Danio rerio: one gene and its partners. The protein of the gene in region 6 interacts with the protein of the main gene of each other region in a pairwise test. Links are inferred from orthologs where the notes say so. Each region holds a gene or a part of one and is shown on either strand. Other genes may lie near its edges. The genes, in order: atpaf2, arhgef3, pitx1, cdr2a, gpank1 and trim23.

Region 1 (4,216 bases), on a different chromosome or scaffold from region 6:
TAGTGTCTGTTTCTAAAAACTTCAGAGCGGCAGAGATCATCTGTTCTTTTGTCCTTTGTGTTGGATTATCAAGAGCAGTGTTACAAAGGGTGGTCTGTAGGGACAGAAATCAGTCTATTAGATTCTGCTATTCATTTAACATTATGAATGTTGGGAATACTGGGAATGAATGTACTATCAGAATATACACACACTGATTTTATATGTACTTGTGACAATGTTTTAGATACATTATCCATTAGTATTTAATAATAAATATCTTTATTTAACCAGGTAAATCAATTAAGAGAACCAATTCTCATCTAAAATGACAACCAGGTGAAGAAAAAAGACACATGCAAATAATAACATATAAAAAATAGATAAATAAATAAAAAAAACTAGGAGCAAATGCAAATATCTTTAACTACATAAAAGGTCAGTTCACCCCAAAATGAAAATTATGTTATTAATAGGGTGGAACCGATTTGGAATTTTTGACCGACAACAATAACCGATAACTATTTAGAATGGGGTATATGCACACAATCTTTTAATTTCAGCCTAACAGGGCCTCCGTCTTTCCATTATAAAGTTGCCATGTTTGAGGTCAGTTTTTTTGTTTGTTTTTTAATCAGTGACCTTCACTGCCTGATAGATATAGATATATGAGTCTCAGACAAAAAGCACTGCGTTAAATTCTATTCCCCCGTCATATCTTTAAAATATAACAATTAATTTCACCCCAGTATAGGAGTTTCTGCGCTCGCCTGCTGATCCTGATGGCGCTAGCGGTTACACAATCTTTCATCTTGTTTTATGGTTGAACAACTAAATGAATGCTTGTATCTATTTAACTGAATGTTTTGTCATCAATGCATCGATAGTGTAAAACATCGATGCTGTAAAAGGAACCTTATGAAAATGAAAAGTCACATTAAGCTTTTTCAAAATGAAATGTGCATCTTGGCGTTTTCATCAACCGGTTTTCTATGCGCATATTGCAAAATTACCATAAAAATAGGTGGATGGAAACATAGATGAATGAATAGGAAAAGACACAATATGCAGACATTTTTTGCAATTTCTGCAGAGATTGATTTTAGGAGTATCATAACTACAGCATTAATATATTAAATAAAAAACAACACATTTTTTAATTTTATTTAATGTTTACAGTGCAAATCCAATTGCATCCACCTATTTGGTAAAGAAAGCAATACATCATATACCTACAAAAAGACAGAAAATATTACATTACTAACTGTATTGTTAATAAATCATATGAACATTTTAATAGTACTATTATTATAACACAATAATATTAGTGAAATTAATAAAAAAAAAAAAACTAAATAAATATAAATTCACACACAATTAAACAAGTGAATACAGTAAATACACCGAATGATGGGCTAAAGATCTGCGGAAATCTGCAGATTTCTGTACACGCATATTCCGTGTGGGCCTACTAATGAGGTGATAAACCGCTGAATGAAGTAAGTATTTTTTCTTTAAGTGTGCACAAAAGTACATTGCTGTCTATATGAAGGGTGAGTGAGCTCTCAGATTCCATCTAAAATATCTTAATCTGTGTTCCAAAGATGAAAGAAAGTCCCAGAGTATTGTTGTTGACCAAATTATAATTTTTGGCTGAACTACCCCTTTAACTGAATAGAATTTTTAAATGATTAAAATAGAATTTAAAAAAAAACTAAGCTTTCAGTTTTATTTATACCTAAAATCTGTACTTTTTAGGGGGTTCTTGAATGGAATCGTCTGCAGCAGAAAATTAAAAAGAAAAAACACCAAAAAAGTACAGATTTTGGGTATAAATAAAGGTACTAGTCTTGTAGACTTGTAATACTGTAAGTTTCAGTTCTGAAGAGTGTATAAAAATATGTGTTCCATGCTACTATGTATGTATTATAGATACATTTGAATGTACTCTGTAGACAGTTGTAGAATAAAACTTTCAAATATACTAGTAGTACTTGGGAAACCAAAATATAGTATAATAATAATAATATAATATAAATTAAAAATAATATCCTACCAAGTGCATAGTGTAAAACTTCAATGTGTCCTTTTGAACGTCCCACTCATTTGCAACAGCAATGGCAAGAGCTTCATTGGGAACTGTGAATAGTTTTCCACTTGGGGTCTTCAGCTTTCTCTTATCAAGGTTTATTTCAAACAAGCCACCTATAAACAAGAAAATCTGTGTTTTCATATGAGCAAACCCTCGATCTTCATCATTGAAAACATGTTTCTTTTAAGGTGCTGTTATGGCCATCAGTACTGAATGATGCTCACCTTCACCTTGAGTTATAGATACAGTCTCGTAGAACTTTTTCCTCTCTGCAAAACACAATGCAAGTACAAAGATATTAATATATTTGTTTATCATTTTAAGTTATTTTTTTCTTTTTATATCTTACCTGCTGTAGCACTGCTATATTTTGCCTTTTGTAGCTGTGTTGATAAACTGGGAACATGCTTCACGTAAGAAAATGAAAACGGCCAAATAATTGCCTGGCCAAACTTTGTGTGATACCGACATATATTTCGTAGCATATTTTAAACGTTATGTGTGTAAATTTGTATTTGTATTGATGCCACAGTTTAGGCGTGATAAGCCATTCAGTCAAGGTTAAAAAGCCGGATATGGTGTTATATTAAATTTGACAATGCATTTTTCATGTTTTAATCGTATAAATTACAAGAAATGAGTATATCTGAGATAAACTCAATTATTCAAGCAAATACACTAGAAGGTATTTAAAGGCATGCAGCAAAGTGAAAACAGCGTGCCGTAAAGTGGACTGACGATGACCTAAACAGGAAAAAGCATAGAGGATAATTCATAATAAAAGTCCATAGCTATATAAATATCTATGAGAAAAGTCCAACATTTCGAACATTCATTTAGCGCCAAACTTTCAGAATGGGTTACCAGGGACAAAAGAGAGTGATATACCTATTAAAATATTTTGATTTTAATAATTAAAAATAGCAATTGAATAATTAAAAAGATTAAAATAATTCTATATAGTTTTTAAATAATAAGCACACATTATAATACAAAATAAAAGAGAAACAGAAACAAATTGATAAAACAGCATAATAATTAAACGATTATTAAATATTTAATAGCATACAATACATTATTATATTTTATTTAAATAAAATAAAACAATAAATTATATATCAAAATAAAATAAAACAAATAAGAATATAATAATAAAAAATTTCAGTTTTCAAAACATTAACTTCAGGTAACTTCCTTAATTTTTTTTAACAAAAATGTTTATGTTTTAATGTGGGGGCAATGATATTAAAATGTTTGTGGCATCTAAAAGTTGGGCGGGAAAGTCCTGCTCTAAATATTAAAAATTAACATAGCTTTAAATAACTTAAAATATTTGTTAAAAATGTTATTCTTAAATACATTTTTTGGAATATTTAAATGAATATATTAGTGAATATTTATATGTTGCTACTATAAACTGGTTTATTCACCTTTCTTTTGCTTCAGTTTTATTATCTCTATCTTATATGTTTTTTTCTTTCTTTCTTTCATTAATTTGTTGGTTTGTTAAAACATGGAAAAAATTACACAATTTATAGAGCAGACATTTACATTACACTTAGTTATTACCTAATTATTTATCTACTATGTACAAGACAAATGCAAAAAGAATTAAATAATATCTTGTTTTAAAATCTTCATGTTTATTATCAGTTTGTTCTGCTTATTTAATTTATTTTATATATTCTAGAGAAAGAGAGAGAAATAAATAAATCAAATAAAAAGAAAAATAATACATAAAATAAAAATCATTAATTTCAAGTATACAAAAACCCTCCAGGGACACACATGAGTTGATGGGGCAGCAGTAGGGTAATGCACCAGAACTGATCTAAGGAACAGCATAGCGCCCTCTTTTGGTTGTGTTTCTGATTTGTTTGATTGTCCTCTGTTCTTCAGCATGATAAAAACATTTCATTATCAACATTAACTAATTCCACAATGAATATATATATATATATATATATATATATATATATATATATATATATATATATATATATATATATATATTGGCCTATATATTAGTGAAATAGACTAAAGAATCTAAAAAGGATTATATTGTTCTTTTGAAATATCACAGATTTCACCAATATATGAATAAATAAGAGATATAAATTGAAACATAAGTCTATAGTTTATCTA
Region 2 (4,169 bases), on a different chromosome or scaffold from region 6:
AATAGGAAGTAATCTGCATCGTTTTAAACTGTGCACACCTGTAGCTGCTTAACTAGGCCTATGACGCTATTTTTTAATACTGGTTAAAAAATTGCGTCGTAAGGTGGTACTTGGAGAGACGATTTTTTTCTAAGGTGGTACTTGGTGAAAAAAGTTTGAGAACCACTGTTCTAGCCCAAATAAAACAAATCAGACTTTCTCCAGAAGAACAAACATTATCAGACACACTGTGAACATTTCCTCAATCTGTTCAACATCATCTGGCGAATATTTAAACAAGAAGAAAGTAATTTGAAGGGGGCGAATAATTCTGACTTCAGCTGCATATTTATATATATATATATGTTTACAAATTTAAGTGGATTGAACAACCATTAAGTTGTCTAGAACAGTAGTGTAAGTAGTTTAAACATGCAGCAATAGACATTGTTGGAGTGTACACAATAAAGCATTACACTATTTTATTATTATTAATGGGTTAAAATAACCAGCTTGGCTCAATATTGTGACACTACTGCATAAAAGTTTAAGAAATGAATTGCAACATGAAGATCTGATACTGGCAGAAACCTAGCTTTAAGAGGTCTAACACAACACCTGTAAAACCCCGGACAGGTGAGCGATCTGTCTCCTGATGGTTCATCTGTCCACCTGGCTTACAACTTCATATCTGTCTAGATGAGTGACGTCTGAACCCCACCAGTTCACTGAGACATCTGCTGCAGTATCTAAATATACAGAGAATAAAAGTATAGGCCTACCCGTGCTGGCCACAGCTGTCATGACAGACTCGCACATGTCTAATCATACACAACTCAAACCAACTACTGCTATACACTGAAAACAAGAGCAGGAGCCAGAAATGAGCAGAGCAGAGCAGACCTCCAGCACTCAACAACACAAGAGAACCAGCTCTACACTTAATGCCACATGCACATTTGTTTTATTTGGGCTAGAATAAAAGCAGTTTTTAATAGTTTAAGCTCAATATTATTCGCCCCTTTAAGCTATATTTGTTTTGGATAGTCTACAGAACAAACCATCGTTATACAATAACTTGCCTAATTACCCTAACCTGCCTAGTTACCCTAATTACCCTAGTGAAGCCTTTACATGTCACTTTAAGCTGTATAGAAGTGTCTTGAAGAATATCTAGTCTAATATTATTTACTGTCATCATGACAAAGAGGAAATAAATCAGTTATTAGAGATAAGTTATTAACACTGTTATGATTAGACATGTGCTGGAGAAATCTGCTCTCCGTTACACAGAAATTGAGGAATAAAATAAGCAGGGGGTGAATAATTCTGACCTCAGCTCTATGAAGATGTATCAAGTGTGTGCATAGTACATATTAAGATTAAATGGTGTGATCTGTATTATTGCATTGTAAAATGTTCTCTAAACAGTTCATTTCCATTCAAAAGTGTTTCATTTTATTTACAAGTTCTTCAAACGTATCTGAACTTTACTATATGCGATCTTTACACCATTGAAAGCACATTTAAAATAATGTTCCCATAATTATACAATACAATGCTTCCAGTTTTCACTAACATTGACAATAACCAACAACAACAACAACAACAATATAGACCAGCGAAAAAAAGTTCATTGCAAATTCTATAAGCTGAATTTTATTAATTCATTTTCTTTTTACTCCCTTTATTAATCTGGGGCCACAGTGGAATGAACCGCCAACTTATCTAGTATGTTTTACATAGTGGATGCCCTTCCAACTGCAACCCATCAGTGGGAAACCCCCATACACACACTTATACACTACGGCCAGTGTAGTTGATCAGTTCCCCTATAGTGCATGTGTTTGGACTGTGGGGGAAACCGGAGCACCCGAAGGAAACCCACACCAACACGGGGAGAACATGCAAACTCCACAAACTGACCTAGCTGAGACTCGAACCAGCAACCTTCTTGCTGTGAGGGGGATTGTGCAACCCATCGCGTCGCCCTAAGCTGAATTTAAACAAATTAGGTTGAAGATTACTACATGTGATTTGTTTGTTTAAATTCAGCCGATGTAAAGAGTTTACAAGCAAAACTTAACTTTAAACATTGAGTAAAGCAATGCAGCTTTTGTTCAGTACAGTACTGCTTTAATGGACACTGAAATGATCATTTAGATCTCAAATAGTCACTAATTTTCCCTTCTTAATGGTGGCATGTTAAAAACCAATGAGTCCTGAAGAAATGTGTCCCAAACACAATATAGAAATCAGTAAATCATGTGGGTTTGAGGGTAAAATCTGATGGTCTGTAATGGTTTTATTCAGATTTTCAAAGACAAAAATAATTTATGTAATGTTGAAGACATTAAAAAATCCCAAATGTTGGATTAAATGGGAATGTAAGAGCGTCTTTTGTTGACTGGATAAACACTGACCAGCTCTTCTAATTAGAGGACACTAAGGTTTTGAGGCTCTTCATGTTGACATGATGATCATGCTTAAACAGCCAACAGTTGAAGTGGACCAAAATAAAGTGGAGAGAACTATTCAACACCCATTTGAAGAACTTGTTCTGATTGACTTCACATGTTGAGCACTGTATATTCGCTTCATATGGAAATAAACAGTAACAGTACTCACCCTGATGCTTCATCTCCTCCAGCACTCATTGAAACTGTTGATATCCAGACAGCAGAGATCCACCATTGGTCATCGATCAGTAATATGCAGCAGTTTCATAGATACATTAGTCCTGAAATCATTTAGAGAATGGGTTTAAACAGACACAAACAATAAGCAGAGCTCTCCTATGAGCCGCTCGCAGTGTTGTGACACGACACACTCCTCCTCTCGGTCGGATGGGAGAGGTTTGCCGATGACAGATCACCCGGGGCGGCAGTGGGTGAGTGCAGTCCTGTCCTACTGAAACCCACAGCAGCTCACATGGAAAATCCCCGCTCAATATTCATGCATGAAAATGCCAATACAGATGCTTACAGCGTCACAGGATTTATGTTGCTGATATTATCTAAAGGTATATCAGACCTTTTATTAAATGCATTCTTTTCATAAGATGCAGTAAAGTTATGAATTTTATTAGCAATTGTGAAAATATTTTACAAAAAAAAAAAAAAGCGAGAGATCACGTGTTCAGCCATTTCCCCATCTGACCTCGCATTTAACGATGATTAATGTATAAAGCAGACCCGGATGCTGTCTGTTCAATGTAAACGCCTTATTTAAAATAACTTCAGCTCGTAGTTTGCAGTTGACAAAAAGTCGGAGAAGTTAAAACTCAGAGCAAGATGGCGGACTGACCTCCAGGAGGCGCTGCGCTGCGGAATATCGCTCCACATGCCGTCTGGGGTGTTTCCGTGTATGAGTTTTTGAGTAAGGAGCTGGATTTTTCTGTTAAAATGCCTCTGAAGAGAGTTGTGATTGTGCCTGGGAACGGCGCAGGAGATGTTGAGCGTAGCAACTGGTACGGATGGGCCAACAAACGAATAAATGAGGTACGGTCAGGTCACCGAGAGAATGCAATAACACAGACACGTGTCATCTATAACGAGGTGAAGCTTTTATTCGCACATTCAGACTTTCTCCTTAATAATACAATTTCATAAAAGTATTATTGGCAAACTCTAAATAGTGAAATCATATTAGCAGCTATTGATTATTAAAGTACAGCATTGATGACAGTCAAATAAACAGTGTTGATGTTGTGTTGAAGTCATCATTGCGTGCTAACACTGATCGAATATTCACAGTAGCATGATAAACAATATAGAGACTGCTAAATGAGCCAATGTGCGAATATAAACCAACTCTACCTCTGTGTCCTCTATTATAACATCTACACAGACAGTTTCCACCTGACCTGACCCAGTTCATCTGAAGCCTGATCATATTTAAAAATCGATCAGTTTATTGAAACTTTGCAAAATGTAAAATAACACAAGTGCTGCATGTTTTTATTGATTGATTGAACATAAAACTATAAACAGGAATAAACAGCTGTCTCAACTCGCACTGATGCGGTTACTCATCTAACAATACGAATACAGAGTGAGATCTTGTAAATTTATCACATCCTTTAAAGCACAGGTGTCAAACTCAGTTCCTGGAGGGCCGCAAGTCTGGCCAGTTTAGTTCCAACCCTAATTAAACACACCTGATCAAACTAATTGAGTCCTTCAGGCTTG
Region 3 (4,158 bases), on a different chromosome or scaffold from region 6:
TAAAGTTTAAACAGTTTCATAAACATCATTCGTTCATTTACTCTTTTATTTATTATTTTTATTTATTTAAAGGCCTGTTACTTTATTATTTTATTTACTATATTGTGGTTATTGTGCTCGCGATAGACACTGTTTTCACATGCATGGCATTAAATAGCAGTCATGTAAATGTCGGCGCTCATCTGTTCATTGTTTTGTTTTATTTGACCGGGTCTGTGCATCGAGTTTTTGTTTAGTTTCCTATTTTTCTTCTTTAAAAAATTCATAATATGTGTTCGATAAATAAAATACACACCGAGGTTCAAGAACAGAGACAGACTTCTTAGCACTAATGTAGACTTATATAGTGTTAAATATTAAAATGATCGGCTTCCGCCGCCCAATGCACTTATATTTGGAAACATGAGGTGAAGTCGCCAGGAATGGGATATATAATATGGGCTTATTGTGACAGCTTCATTGTCAGTCAGAAAACATCTCGCTTTCCCGTCTGATTGTTCTCTGCGGGGTTTTCTGCCGTCGGTGGCGCCTGCTGGATGGGCAGAACACAACGCTGCAGGACGGGGAAGATCCGAGCATGGGTTCATCATGAAAATAACCTCAAGAGCCTTGTTCACCGCCGTTTCTGAACATACATGCTCTGCGGAGAATGCACTCAGTGTAAGAAACAGCCCGTATTTTCTGTAAATATTATATTGTATTATTTATGAAAACGGTCTGGCTTCTGTTCTCCTCCACTGGCATTTAGTTCAGCTCATGTTGATTTAGCGCTTTAACAATGTAGACTGTGTCAAAGCAGCTTAATATAGAAGTTCACTGAAACTGAGTCAGTGCAGGTTTTATTTATTAAAATAAATTATATTTTTATTAATAATATTTATTAATATTTTATTACTAATAAAATCTGCTGATAACATGCACGTTTTGTAAATGTATTTATTTTTGTTAGCCTAAGCATTACACAAATGTGGCATTTAATTACATTGTTTTTGGTCGTTTTATTGATATTCAAGTTATTCTGAATTAGACTACTCTGAATATCGCAATATTACAGTATTATATTGCGCGCACCAGTATTATTTAGTATTGTATATACATTTTTATATTTACAAAATAATCGCTTTAAAAGCATCATAATTGACAAAGAGGTAAAGATTTTTTAGCTTGCAATACTTACATTTTATATATATATATATATATATATATATATATATATATATATATATATATATATATATATATATATATACATATATATATATATATATATATATATATATATATATATATATATATATATATATATATATATATATATATATGCACACACACCCATACACAATGCTTTATTTAATGTTATTGCAGTATTTAAAACATGAATAATAATGATAATAATTTTCATATTGTGTCTTCGGTATCTCCTATTTTTAAGAATTTGCCATAATCATAATTCTAGCTTAGTTGAAGCACATAATTGCACATTAATAGCCTCGGCTGTGTCACTTCTGAGCGGAAAATGACTTGAGCATAAACACACGCATTAAAGGGCAGAAGAGCGGAATCCAGTGGACGGGTCTGAAACTCTTGCGCTGATATACGACAAGAACTCAATGAAGAACTTAGGGAATGTTTCAGAGTCAGGAGCATATATTTGCATACATTTTAGGAAAATTAAACTGACAGGACGCCTTTTAGAAACATTTAAAGAGTTCACGGTGGACAACTCCGACACATCGAGCTGAATATTAATCTCCGTCTGTTGAAGGCTTTAAAATACTCCAGTTTTCCTCATTGTCAGTTCAGATATTTCAGGCTTTGTCGCATGCTGAGCTACACTTATATTGAGGTACATTCTAAACACAGAGTTTATTGTTGATTAATTAGTAACAGATAATAGATAATAATAATAAGAAGAAGAATAATAAGAATACAAATTTAGTAACAAAATAATTCAATGTTGTGTAGTAATTTTCCTGGAAGCTTGTGGGTTTTGCAGGCTCAGAATTAATGTGGTTTCGTTTCAGACGATGGAACAGCTCATCTGTATACTTTGTTTTATAATTATTTGGGTTATTATTAAATTGCATTAATACATTTGTTATCAATAATAGGACTGTTAAACATTCACGAGGGGAAGCTGCATGCTAATTTAATGACGACTGAATAGTGTGCATTAATTAACCGCAGGTCTTGTTTATTTGAGTATTTACTGAATTAAGCGTTGAAGCGTTTATAAACCGCATTAATATGCGTCGCACAGCGTCCAAAACATGCTCAAACCTGCTCAAATCAGGAATCTGTTGTGATGAACTCTGGCTATTTTGTCTTGTAACATGTAGACCTAAAGTTCAGGGAATATTGTGTGTGTTTGTGTGTCTGCACAGCCCGTGCGCAACTGCAGTACAGTGAGTCCATGTGTGTTTACTGAGGTTTGCTCTGCATCTGTAAGCACAGCAGGATGACCAGACACTATCCAGCTCAAATACAGCTATATATATATATATATATATATATATATATATATATATATATATATATATATATATATATATATATATATATGTATAGCAGAACACGAACTATAATACACAATGCAATGATATTCACGCCACAGTTAGGCCTACCACTCTCACACACACACACACACACACACACACACACACACACACTGTAAAGCGACTCACGTGTCAGTTCTGTGATATTCTGCGAGCTGCTTGTTCTCGTGTGTTAAATGGTTTCCATGCATTTATTATCTATAGTTCCTCAAATGCGCGCGTGTAAGCAACCGTAAAGTTTCTGCGCGGGAAGATGCGCCACCGCAGACACTATCAGGTAGGTCGCGTGACGTCACTCCGCCGCCCGCATGACGTCATGCGTGCGCGATCTGCCGTGAGAAACGCATGATGGAGGTGACGCTGCAGAGCTCTTCATCACTGTTTGATTCTGTTAGACTCTGCGATTCAGAGAAATCCGTTTTGTTATCGTGTTCTCCACTGAAATCCGTTTATTACGCATTTAAAACACTGAGGAAAAACCTTCACACGCTTTACATTTCATTTGTCGATACAGTCTTGTGTTAAATCAATGTTGGGTAAAATTTTTACAAACCCAACAATGGTCAATATTTTATTTCAACTAGCTGACATTTAAATGACACATTTTAACCCAACTTTGGGGTTTGTCTGTATTTGACCCAACGTCGGAATATAATTCAGCATTTTCAGACATTTATCGGAGTGACTTTACGCGTTTAAAATGATGAAATAATAAATATTCTAACAGTAATTAATTAGTTTATAGCAATATAATGCGTTAAACAGCGCTCTTACACGACATCAAAACTGAGGAAACCAGCAAAGCTGTTTACAACGAAGAAACACAATTATTAAATGAAATAAATTATGAATTATAACTGATTAGAGCTAGTTCATCAATATATTTTGCCTTCTGTGTTTGCATGTTTCTCTATAATTACATGCTATAATAATTAAAGCACAAATAGGCGAACAGATCATAGTAACCCGCACATGCGCTGCAGAATAAATGTGTGAAGCCGTTTACAATCTCACAGTCCCCAAATTAATTATCAGATTTCTCATGTTGGTTTATGACTGCCAGAGCTTCAAGCATTGTAAACTGCTCATTATTTATCTCTAATGTGCTTTTATATTTCTGCTATTTTATGATGGCATATTATTTATTAGTATAAATTAAAAGCTCTCCATCTGCGCTTGCATGCGTGCATGAGTCTCATTATGAGGTATATTTGATTGAGATATTGCCAGATCCAGAAAGCATGTGCAGTTTTATTATTTTATGTTTGAATGTTTTGGCATTTCATCATTATGCATAACATTAAATACACAGACAGCGTTTATTATCTATTAATAAGAGTTCATATTAACTTAAGAATAACAATAATTATTATTAAAAATCGACTCATTTTAAACTGTACATGGCTGCATATCTTTGCATTATTAATAATCTGTAATCTGCCTTATTAATCCTCTGGTCTGCTGTGTTCGGGCTGTGGCTCGGTTCGCATGTGCTCTGTGTAAATGTGTTATTTCCATCGTTTCCAGCTTCTCTGCTCAGTCTGAGCTCCTCTGTTTATTTGCTGAGATTATTGTCTGACCTCCAGACTGAGTTTAGCATGAA
Region 4 (3,455 bases), on a different chromosome or scaffold from region 6:
ATAAATAAATAAAAACGTAACTCAAAAATCCAAAAACTGACCACAGGTCTGTCTAAAGTGCATAGTATCACAGTGGTGTTTACATGAACGCCAAAACAAAAAGTGCTTGAGACTATTAGCTAGAGTGAGTGTGTTTGCGAACGCAGAGCCACGATTTGATCCGAACAAACTATTTACACAGATTTTCAAGCATATCGTTTACATTGACAGGAGCTGATTCCGCTAGCATATCAAAGCACTGAGGTAAAGAAGCAGCAAAACAGCAAACAGTATTGCTCGAATACAAGAGATCACCGTTAGTAACGTCATCGAAATCACATGCAGCATTTTCTATTATAAGTTAATAAGTATTGCATGTGAAATGTCTAGACACTTAAAATCTAAGGCTACATACACGGTCCTACTGAATTCCATTTTGTTTATATACGTATATATTTCTAATGTTTATCAAATGACTCTCATAAAAGAATATCTGGTTCATATTCCGTTATAAAAAGCTTGTCAATTTTTTTTTATTACTATTATTCCTGTAACAGTGTTTTCTCGCACAATCTTAGATTTTAAATTAGCGCATTAAATACTTCTCAGATATTTTTTTTTTTTACAAATTTAATTTGTGCATTAATGTAATGGCATTTAGATTATTATTTTTTTAAATATGCAAATAGAATTGGGGATATAAAGCTGTTGCAAAAAATTGGAGAAACCCATTCTAAGATTTTCTAAATGCATTATTCTCGATTGAATCAACTTTGAGCTTAGTGTTTAACAGCAGATGACGCTCTAGGCTAGTTTTTAACATCAGATAGGCTAGTTTTTAACATTAGCAATAGCAATTTAGGCATTTTTATAACAATAGTTTGAACTTTAGGTTAGTTTTTAGTATTAGATGGTGCTCTAGTCTTGTTTAACAGAAGATCGGCTAGTTTTTAACATTAGACTGCGATTTAGGCTAGTTGTTATCAATAGAGGGGGCTTTAGGCTGGATTTTAACATTTAATGGCAATTTAAGCTAGCTTTTAACAGCAGCTAGGCTAGTTTTAAAAAATAGCAATTTATGCTAGTTTTTAACAATAGATGGGACTCTAAGCTAGTTTTTTAACATTAGATGGTACTCTAGGCTAGTGTTTAATCATTAGATGGCACTCTAGGCTAGTTTTTAAAAAACATGGTGCTCTATGCTAGTTTTTAATCATTAGGTGGTGCTCTAGGCTAATTTTTAACACTAGATGGCACTCTAGGCTAGTTTTTTAATGTTAGATTAACAGTAGAAGGCACTCTAGACTAATTTTTTTTAAACAGTAGATGGCACTCTAGGCAATTTGTTTTACAGCAGACTGCGATCTAGGCTAGTTTTTAACATTAGATAGGCTAGTTTTAACATTAGCAATGGCAACTTAGGCTATTTTTTTAACAATAGATTGGACTCTAGGCTTGTTTAACGGCAGATGGCTAGTTTTTGACATTAGACAGCGATTTAGGCTAGTTGTAAACAATAGAAGGGGCTTTAGGCTAATTCTTAACATAAGATGGCGATTTAGGCTAGTTTTTAACAGCATTTGCTAGTTTTTAACATTAAATGGCAATTTTGGCTATAGCAGATAGGCTAGTTTGTAAAATTAGACAGCGATTTAGGCTAGTTTTTAACAATAGATGGGAAATGTAGGCTAATTTTTAACATTAGAGGGTGCTCTAGGCTTTTCAAAATTAGTCCAGAATGCCGTGTGTTGCTATAGCTAGCCTGTCTGCTGCTAAATACTAGCCTAGAGTGCCATCTGCTGTTGAAAACTAAGCTCAGAGCCGATTCAAGATAGAATAGAAATGCACTTCGCAATCGTAAAATCCATTCCTCCAAATGATTGCCACAGCACTAGGGGCATTCGTCATGAAGATAACGTGTAATTTCAAACACAACAACAAAAACGTTAAATTTTCCTAAAAAACTGGCTCAAATTTACAATGTCAATTGCTTTTTTGTTGTTTTTGTTGTATTTTTCGATGTAAAACCTCATTTTAGCAGCTTGTGTGAGGTTCACCAATATTATGGTATATCATGTACATCAAGTTAGTTCCATAACTGTGTTATGTAGTTGTTAGTACTAATAACAATAGTCTTCCTCCAAACCTGATGTATCTCAGGCGTCTGGTATGGCTGATTCACACAGCTTGTGTGTGTCGTTCATTAGAGTAAGACGTATAAAAGTAGAAAAACCCCATTCAGACCATTCAGGTTCTGGATGTGGACGGTTTGGTGTTGTATACTGTGTATAGGCACAGCTGTTATAGTGCAATAGACACACACACAAACACACTGTTAAATCACATTAGCAAGTGCAAAGTCACTACACTCAACTTAAAGGGACAGATCACCCAAAAACAATGACCATTTACTCATAATTTACTCAAGTGCTTCTTCTGTTGAACGCAAAACAAGAAAAATGTTGGGAAAAAGCAGCCATTGGCATCCATAGTAGGAACAAACAAATACTATGGATGTCAATGGATGTTTTCCCAGCATTCTTCAAGATATCCTCTTTTCTGTTCAGCACTCTTCAGTTCATCTTCCTTAGTGTTCAACAGAGGAAAGAAACCCAAACCGTTTTGCAACAAGCAAATGATGAGTAAATGGTGACAGAATTTCATCAGAATTTTGGGTGAACTCCCCCTTTAAAACAGCCACACCTTACTGGGCCTGCAAAGCCCTGTTCTCACTCAGGTCCTCTTTGGTCTTCTGAATGCAGGTGAAGATCTCTTTGAACAGGGCTTTGTACTCGGGCTGATGGAGCTGGTCGGAGAGGCAGGCGGTGTCTGTGGCGGAGCAGCTCTGGGATTTGGGCGTCTGGACGGCTTTATGGCTGAGGCTGTTGGCCCCGTGCTGGCAGCGGCGCAGCAGCTCCTCGTATTTGAGCTGCAGGGCGCTGTACTGAGCGTCCACCTCATTGAGCAGAGAGATGCCGCGCTGCTTGACGGCCTGAGCTCTGCGAATGCAGGAGCGCTCGTGTCCACGCCGGATCTCCTCCGCTCGAGCTCCTCTGACGTAACTATCACTGCTGCAGCGGCAGCGCCCCTGAGGAAACTCCGCCTCCTCCTCACATTCAGGCTCCACCCCCAGCCGCTCCTCTGCACTGAAGAAAACACTGTCAGGCAGCAGCGTGTCGGTCAGTCTGGAGCTGGAAGACTCGGAGCGCCACAGCAGACGCAGCTCCTCCACCTCGGCCTCCAGCTCCGCCTGTCAAAAGTGAAACCGCATGTCACAATGTGTGTCACATGTTACAAACACTAAAACCCAACCTGAAACTGTTATATAATGTCGAGCTTGATGAAAACACTCGCATTCTGCCTTTCAGCTCATAAAAATACTTTGGTCATTTGCAGAAAACATCATTAGCCTATGCAACAACCACATGTTTTTGTTTCATTTCATTTCAAATTCAACATCACTGAGTGCAAACAAA
Region 5 (4,175 bases), on a different chromosome or scaffold from region 6:
AGAGGTCTTTCAGGGCCCGAATGTTGCCTTCCTGGGCGCACTGCAGGAGTTTGTGTCCATCACGCTCCGTGCAAACTGGCTGCACAGTGGAAGCTTCTAGCCTTCTTGCTTCTCTTCTTCTTCGATTGGGTTCTTGTGTCAAAAGATATTGGAAGATCATGATAAATCTGTATAACAATGAGTGTTTTAAACGTCATTTTTTTAAACTAAACTTTAAGGAAAATAAATGACAGAGATTAAATGTATCAAAGAGGAAAAACACCAATTGTTAATCTACACTTACAGTTGAAGTCAGAATTATTAGCCCCCTTTAAATTTATTTTTCTTTTTTAAATATTTCCCAAATGATGTTTAACAGAGCAAGGAAATTTTCACAGTATGTCTGATGATGTTTTTTTTCTTTTCAGAGGATGTCTTATTTGTTTTATTTTAGCTAGAATAAAAGCAGTTTTAATAAAAATAAAGAAATAAATAATCATTTTAAGGACAAACTTATTAGCCCCTTTAAGCAAATTTTTTTGATAGTCTACAGAACAAACCATCGTTATACAATAACTTGCCTATTTACCCTAACCTGTAACCTAAGATAATTAACCTAGCTAAGTCTTTAAATGTCAGTTTAAGCTGTCTTGAAAATGTCTAGTAAAATATTATTTACTGTCATTATGGCAAATATAAAAAAACAGTTATTAGAGATGAGTTATAAAAACTATTATGTTTAGACGTGTTGAAAAAATCTTCTTTCGGTTTAACAGAAACTGTGAAAACAATAAACAGGGGGGCTAATTGTATATGTACTACACAAACTACAATTTTATATAGATTTTGCATGTTCTGTCAAATTTGTTTTGATGTAAAATTTTTATTAATCATGATACATTTGAAAAGCGTATGTTTTTTCGCTGTTCCTCTCTATACACACCAGGCAATTTTTTATAAACACTGCAATTCTGAGTGATCTACTCTCAGAGGACAGGGTATTTTTTTTAGTTTTTCTGATTCTTTTATTTGAGTTGACCATTATCAATTGAATAAATGTAACAATATGCTGTAGCAGTTGAAAATTAGATTTTTGTTTAACCAATTTACACATTGATGTAAAAGACACAACATGTAAGATTTTTTCTTAAATATATACAAAAACCACTAGAACAATGTTATGTATTAATTTTCCAGACTTATGTACTAACAATATCCCTAACATTTAGAAGTATGTTAAAGTCCAGAGAAATAAGCATTTTTAACTAGTGACACAGAACATGTCCTGTGTGGCCATGCTAATGGTTTCACACACCCTTAGTTTCCAGTTTGGTTTCACCAAGCACCAAAGATGTTTTAATATGGTGTGTGTTTTATTACACTGCACAATGCAGCTTTAGAACAGAATCTTAAAATGTTTTTAAGAAAAAAAAAAAAACATAAAAATTTTAATTTGAAAAAACAGCAATGTTTTTTATACCCACATGATCATGACCAGTAGAACCAGAAGCAGTCGACTCTGGAATAATAAAAGTTAACTTCGTTTGTGCCAAGTCATTTTACTTCAACGGCTTTTACTCTTAAGCCCTTAATGTTTTGGACAACAAACTTTTTTTAGTGGTCTAAGGCAGTGTATTAAAACTGTTTTCTATTGCCCACAAGCATTTTGCATGCTGTTTATGTGCCCCAGGAAGGGCCCCTCGTGTTCTAACCGGCTGCTGCTTTTCACGTTTTTGACCTTTGAATACTTTCTCTCACATGATTTCCACAGAAGTCCTGTAGAATGTAATAAAGACAAAAACTGTTTCCACACTCAGTCACAGCGTCATCAGTTGCGAATGCACACACTTGTGGCAAAATGAAATACTGTGTCATACAAAAAATCCAGTTAATTTAAGTTGTTGTGACTAAGAAAATTTTAAAAGACACTAAATTAAAATACATCAGTGCATAATCAAATATCAGATAGTAATTTGACAATTCTACCTGTTCGTCTTTTTGCTCTTCTACTTGCTGCTGCTTCTCCATCTCTTGGCCTTTCTCTATCTCTCTCTTGTAAGAGGCTTTGGTAAAAGTCTCTGGCCTCAACCCCAGAAATTGTTTGCTTGTCTTCTTTCTTTTTTTCTATCCAGAGCGTCTCCTCTTGTTTGGCTCTGGTGAAGTAGACTGGGTTGTTCATCTTTAACACTTTGCTATTAAATAGACAAATGAAAAATCCTACGACTGCAGCTCATGCCCAAGATACTAAAATCAAGAGGAGACAAAAAGAGGTCATTTTCATATCAGTTAAAAAGTAACCATCCATTAATTTACAGGGCAGTCTTTTTACGTTACTTAGATTCTGTCAATTGTGTCTTGAACGTGTATCCTAACATTTGTTTCTGTAATGTAATGATAACTGCCATCAAAGCTTATGTTTGTAGTTGCGTAATAAATGTTTAGTCGAACTATTAATGAGTCTGATCATTTTGTCAAAAAAAATGTCAACAGCTCTTACACAGTTAACGTTGTAACTATGAAATTCTGGTTTTCGGCTAAATGAATTTCTAGTCAATTAGGATAGTAAATGTCTAGGATTATGGTGTTACTGTAATCGAGATATGATGCATCCCACTTTACGCTGATACAATTATTAATACAGCCTTAAATCTATATAGTTACAACAATTATATCAAAGAAAAGATAAACACGTCCAAATTAAACCCAAGGTAATGAACACACACTTACGTCCAGTAAACCCAAGGTAATGAACACACACTTACGTCCAGTAAACACAACGCTCTCATTCTTGTGTCGATTTTTGACTATTACTTTGTAGCAGTGCCACCAACTGGTCTGGAGTGTGAAACTTTGCTTCTCTTGAAATCTCTTGATTTCTAAATTTGCATTGAAAACCTAATGTCTTCTTAAAATTAGGATTTACTGATATTTTATATAATTACCCTGCTGAAGAATCCAGCTTAGACCAGCCTATGATGGTTGGCTGGTTTTAGTTGGTCAACCAGCCTGGTTTTAGAAACAAGCCAAGCAAGACGTCTTGGGAGCCCAGCCAAAACCAGCTATGCCCAGCTTAAACCAGGCTGGTCAAGTTGGTTTTAGCTGGTCATTTTCCAGCCTGACCCACTAAGACCAGGCTAGAAATGCCTGGAAACCAGCCTGAAAATGGCCAAAACCCCTCCTAAAACCAGGCTGGTCAACCAGTTTAAACCGGCCAACATGCTAAAGTTCCCTACAATAAGGTTTGTTAACTAAAATAATTTAACAACATTTGTTAAAATCAACTGTGAACACGCATTTATTAATCTTAATATCAATTTTTACTAGAAACATTTGAAAAACCAAAGATGTAATCAGTGCATTAGTTAAAACAAAGAAACACTGATGCGAGCATTATGAATTTTTATTGAAATTATTAGTGTCAAAATGTATTCAATGCTGGAACTCTGGAACTGCTGTTTGACAAAAATAATGTATTTGAAAAAGTGACCCATGAACAAAATGATACAAAAAAGATTGCTTGTACAAAAGTACTTTTGGTTAAATTTAGTAATTTCCTCCCATTATGCCATTATTGAAACCACAAGTATTGATTGTGAGAGTTGGTAATTTTCTGAAAAATATACCACTTAAAAAGTGATATGCAAAGATATTTTCAGAAAATGTTGGCTCAGCTGTACTGACATAATTAAACTGCTTTTCTCCAAATAAACACCAGGACTGAAATAAACGATTGTTCTAAACTTCACCATCAAACAGAGAGGGTAGAAAACTTTAGACAGTAATGAACATGGGAACAGTCACAGACATCAGCCTGAGCGAGAGGTGATGATGCTCTCTCTCCTCTGTCCTTTAACTAACACCTACAAAGACACTTAATGATGTAAAAATCTGCCAGAAACAATAATCAGAACTGTTTGACTTGCATTTGGCCTAAATCACCAACGAGCCTTGATAATCCTTTTGAAAAAAAAAAAAAAAGTATGCAGTATTCTGCTGGAAGCTTCTGAATCTGTGAATGTGGGGGGTATGGTTACTTTAAGCAATTATAAGAAACATTTGAAGATAAACATGCAAATAAAATGCAAACCAATAGAAGTGACCCCAATCGCTTCATAAAACATTACATTTTGGCCCAACAGTTTGATTAAGTACTTGATTTGAATAGCCTGACTCATTTAATACCTTATTAGGTCCAC
Region 6 (4,231 bases):
AACAAGTTGACACAAACCAGTGCTAATGCTGTTTGCAAGTGAAATAGGGAACTAAGTAATTTTGACAATCTTTAAACTAATGACTTTTATTAAAATGGTCAAAAGGGTTTTGTGACATAATATACAACGAAGCATTAATTAAATGCATATTTTCAGTGGAGCATTCGATTTAATAGTCTGATATTTTTGTTTGACGGAAGAAAAAAACATTGGAAAAAACAGCCTATGCCAGTTTTTAAAAAGGATACAATCAGTGTTTTCGTTTTGTAATCTAAATTTGTCATTTAGGTGAAAGATATCTATGGCAGGCTTGTTTATTTGTTTATTTAGTTTATTCTTTTTTTTTTCTATGCTGTTAGAAACAATGCAGGTGCGTGAAGTTGCTCTTTTATGTTTTGTATGCTGCTGTTTGCATGATAAAATAAATCAGTATTTTAAATATATTTAATGGGCTCACAAAAAGGACGCCTCAATAAATTTTATTATTAAATAATATTTTCTGCTATCTTCATTAGTTTCAAAAACAAAGATTTCTTGTGGTAACTTGAAAAGGCATGTTTGTAGATATTTTCTGCTGGAGATACTATTGTTTTAAAAACAAAATGTAAAAAACAAAACGTACATATACAGTAGGAACAGTAGAGCAGAAAATTTTGTCAGTCTTAAAACTTTTGAGTTTTCTAAACTACGGTAGAGATCTGCGTGGAACTGAATTTTTAGTCCCACTCCCTCCAGTTTTTAATTCCGCTCCTGACCGCTCGCGCTGTATATTTAGCCTTTGATGCTGCGAAGCCCACCCCATTTCCCGGTTGGAAAGCGATCAGTAAGTGAATAGCAGGGGTGAGGGGGTATAAGAGATCAATAATTGAAAGACGGCAGGCCAGAGTCACAGTGGTAGGTAGATTGACTGTCAGGTCACCAGGAAATGTCCCGGTGCTCCCTATGACCAGTCCGCCTCTGCTTATGCATAAGAGAGAAGAGCGGCTATTTATACCAAAGCACAGTGGTGGAAAAAAGTCAAAATATGGCAAATGCACTTAAAACACATTTTTTGCCTTGTTTGTGCTTGTGCAGCTACAGAAAAGCATAAAACAATGCCATTTTTAAAATAAACTTATGATTAAAAACCACATAGTGTAAGGAGGAACAAGTTGGACAAAGAGGATTCTATCCCCATAATCACTGCCAAGATTTTGTTTTTAAACTCATTTAGAGATCCATTTAGGACAGATGGTATGGAATCTGAAATGCAGCACATTAGATCATGTTTATACTTCATTTTTTGTTTGTAGCTATATTGCTAATATAAAAAAAAACTGTAAATTTGAAAAATGTACACTTCTAACCTCTCCCATCTCACGAAGCGCATCCTCCGACATGCCTGACTGATTGGTTGCCCCATTCTGTAGCCGTTCAAGCAGTTCTAGCAAGGCAAAGTTCTTCTTCAGGCCCCACACACCTGAGTCTCCTGGAGAGCAAAACAAGAATATGATTCTTCCCAGTATGGAAATTTTTAAATATTGAGTTACATTGTTATTATAGTGAACAGAAAGGCAAACTCACCCAGCTCAGTGACCTGTCTATCAAAGGGGCAGCGTACTGCCCTGCCGTGGAGAGGCAGTCGTGTCAAGCAGTCGTGACACACCGTGTGTCCACACAGCAGCAGTCGTGGTACCTTATCACCTTGTAGTGAAAACACATCCTCACACACACCACACTCCAACACCTTTAAGTCAACAAAAAAAACATGTATTTCTTACAGGAAATGTTGCAGATTATTATTTGTGTAGACATTTCTGAGTGAATTTTATTTTAATAAAAAGACAGGCCTTTAACTTACATGATGTCCACAAATAGAAAATAACAAACAACCAATCCTTCAATTAGTTTGAGACTGACAAAATCAAGTCCCATCCCACATTTTTAACATGCTGAATCACTAGTATATGCACATAACAATAATGAAGAATATCATCACATCCTTCATTTTAAATTATTAACTTCTCATTCAAAAAGCCAATTAAGCTTTTGTTAATTACAATTTATTTGTTATTTGAAAAAATATTTCAGCAAAAACAAAGAATAAAATTAAATTCTAAAACGTTTATATTATATATTATAATATATAATAACAATTGTTATATTATACAAAACGCATACGTACGTTCATAAAAGCTAACATTTAATTTAATATCGAAAGAATGTTATAATAAACTTGGGGGAACTAGCATGACGTATGTCATTAATTCTGCAACATTTAGACCTATTGCCTTATGTTCAGCCATAACTTATAACTACATCTCCTAATTGCTTTCTAGTTGACGTTAAATGATAAAAGTGTTGAAGATATGAAGCTCACACTCTTTCTATGGACCAGTTGATCATTTAGCCAAGCCGGCTAACCCATTCTGCACAACTCATTTAATAACGGCAGAGTTATCAATACAACACATTTTTTCATACTTACGACTTGTTTTTTACAGTGTCGGGCGTTTTAAAAATAGGTGTGTGACATCTTATTTAATGTAAGAAACGCTGTGACAGTTTTGAATGATGCTATCATTAGCCTGCTAACGCCCTGCAGAATCTCACTGAACTCCACCTAGACAGGTTAAAAATAACGTCTCTTACGTGATCGTTGTTAGCTAAACATCTAGTATAGTTGTTATTTATTTAATATGCATCATACCTTCACCGCATTAGCGGCAGTTCCTCGGCCGTGTCTCACACACGATTCCATCGACGCCTGTTTATTTACACCGACAGCAGCGGCCATCCTCGGACTGAACCATCTAATGACACTTTAGTGTGAACATGGCATAGTAATTTAGCTCTATTTTAGGCTGTCATGTGGTAATAAAAATTACTTTAAAATTATATTTTTAAGCTGTATCGCGAATGTTTGTATTATGTCTCAATTAAATTATACCAATCGTGTAACTCTGTCACCCATGTATAACAGTGGATCAGTCTGTCAGCTGTTTCCTGTGCGAGTACGCGCTCATCAAATGTTACAGCCCGAAATAAATACATATGAAAATTAGGGTTAATTTACCAAATATTGCTTAACTGACTCGTATGAAGTTAAAACGTTGTATAGTGTTGTCTTAAAGTGAAAATAAACATGTTTCAAAACATTGCATTTTTGTTATTTTTTTATTATTTAAAATGTGTCTAAATGACAAAAAATACACATTAAACTTGGAGGAAACATCAACAGCTTTAGAAAGTTGAAAAATCAATATTTGGTGGAATAACACCAATTTTCAGTCAACAAAATTTGAGAACATCTGACCAACTGTAATTTTCTGGGGACTATTTAGGCCTGTAGCCAGCCTGGTAAAAGGGGTGGTTCTTTTTTTCTCAAAAAGTGGACCTTTTTGCACTTATACGCCTCAGTTTTCTATTTAACTACGAGATTTAAATACTGCATTTTAGTGATATGTTGATGGATTAATATGGAATCAGATAAGTCTCAAAAGAAATTCACGCAAAAGACATGATGTACACATGCGTAGCCAAATTCACGTGCATAAAACCAAATTCACTTGCGTAAAATATTTATTTATATTCACAAAAAAAATTCACGTGCACAAAATAAAAATGCATTTTCATAAAATACGTTTCACAAATGCAAAACACAATTTGCAAATGTATAAGAGTGTACAAAAAGTTTTGAATGTTTAAAACTTGCGAGTTCATCCTGAATGAGAATGTGCAAATCCTCTTTCACGTACGACTCCCCCTGGATACTTGTGTGTGTATTTTTGAGACTGTCCTGCCAGAGGCAGGGCAACTCGTACCTTTCAGCCAATCAGACGAGAGCTGTAGTCGATGACACCCACTCTGCGCTCCATTTGCGCAGACTGTTCCTCTCTCATGAGGGATTTATCACTTAAACTCTTTTTGTCTAAAACTGAAAGTTTATCACAATCGGTGTATCTTGCTAAAGTATTGGATGTACCAAAATCCGTTATTTAAAAAAAATTATTTAGGGATGTTTAATTTTATATGGAAAAACAAACCTCATTATTTAAATAGAAATATTTTATGTAATTCATATAATCAAGGAGGTTTGAATTTGCTTGATTTTGATACTTCCAATACATTTTTTTAAGTTGAATTGGATTAAACATTATATCAAGCACAAAAATGAAATATGGTGTATAATCCCAAACCTTATTTTTGAAAAACTTGGTGGTTTAGGGTTTCTTTTGAAGTGTGACTTTGA

The links.
Region 1: the proteins of trim23 (region 6) and atpaf2 interact in binary tests that used the Homo sapiens proteins (3 or more experiments, as listed by UniProt). The two-hybrid records come from large-scale screens. The link is inferred for Danio rerio from reciprocal best matches to the Homo sapiens genes TRIM23 and ATPAF2.
Region 2: the proteins of trim23 (region 6) and arhgef3 interact in binary tests that used the Homo sapiens proteins (3 or more experiments, as listed by UniProt). The link is inferred for Danio rerio from reciprocal best matches to the Homo sapiens genes TRIM23 and ARHGEF3.
Region 3: the proteins of trim23 (region 6) and pitx1 interact in binary tests that used the Homo sapiens proteins (3 or more experiments, as listed by UniProt). The link is inferred for Danio rerio from reciprocal best matches to the Homo sapiens genes TRIM23 and PITX1.
Region 4: the proteins of trim23 (region 6) and cdr2a interact in binary tests that used the Homo sapiens proteins (3 or more experiments, as listed by UniProt). The two-hybrid records come from large-scale screens. The link is inferred for Danio rerio from reciprocal best matches to the Homo sapiens genes TRIM23 and CDR2.
Region 5: the proteins of trim23 (region 6) and gpank1 interact in binary tests that used the Homo sapiens proteins (3 or more experiments, as listed by UniProt). The link is inferred for Danio rerio from reciprocal best matches to the Homo sapiens genes TRIM23 and GPANK1.

What each region holds. Positions count from the first base shown.
Region 1 is NC_133187.1:20,034,788-20,039,003, forward strand, and holds the start of atpaf2 (ATP synthase mitochondrial F1 complex assembly factor 2), read right to left. Parts: upstream 2,801-4,216; 5' UTR 2,557-2,800; coding exon 2,421-2,556; intron 2,341-2,420; coding exon 2,296-2,340; intron 2,185-2,295; coding exon 2,036-2,184; intron 95-2,035; coding exon 1-94. UniProt on the Homo sapiens protein: Plays a role in the assembly of the F1 component of the mitochondrial ATP synthase (ATPase).
Region 2 is NC_133197.1:41,151,534-41,155,702, reverse strand, and holds the start of arhgef3 (rho guanine nucleotide exchange factor 3), read right to left. Parts: upstream 2,801-4,169; 5' UTR 2,637-2,800; coding exon 2,608-2,636; intron 1-2,607. Other genes in the region: serine hydrolase RBBP9, read left to right, coding at 3,384-3,479. UniProt on the Homo sapiens protein: Acts as a guanine nucleotide exchange factor (GEF) for RhoA and RhoB GTPases.
Region 3 is NC_133196.1:50,075,241-50,079,398, reverse strand, and holds the start of pitx1 (pituitary homeobox 1), read right to left. Parts: upstream 2,801-4,158; 5' UTR 2,685-2,800; intron 1-2,684. UniProt on the Homo sapiens protein: Sequence-specific transcription factor that binds gene promoters and activates their transcription. May play a role in the development of anterior structures, and in particular, the brain and facies and in specifying the identity or structure of hindlimb.
Region 4 is NC_133178.1:62,630,171-62,633,625, forward strand, and holds part of cdr2a (cerebellar degeneration-related protein 2), read right to left. Parts: intron 3,230-3,455; coding exon 2,684-3,229; 3' UTR 1-2,683.
Region 5 is NC_133176.1:27,689,677-27,693,851, forward strand, and holds the start of gpank1 (G patch domain and ankyrin repeat-containing protein 1), read right to left. Parts: upstream 2,801-4,175; 5' UTR 2,742-2,800; exon of another isoform or gene 2,707-2,741; intron 2,224-2,706; 5' UTR 2,159-2,223; coding exon 1,966-2,158; intron 133-1,965; coding exon 1-132.
Region 6 is NC_133185.1:12,496,240-12,500,470, forward strand, and holds the start of trim23 (E3 ubiquitin-protein ligase TRIM23), read right to left. Parts: upstream 2,801-4,231; 5' UTR 2,777-2,800; coding exon of another isoform or gene 2,690-2,776; intron 1,727-2,689; coding exon of another isoform or gene 1,564-1,726; intron 1,469-1,563; coding exon of another isoform or gene 1,347-1,468; intron 1-1,346.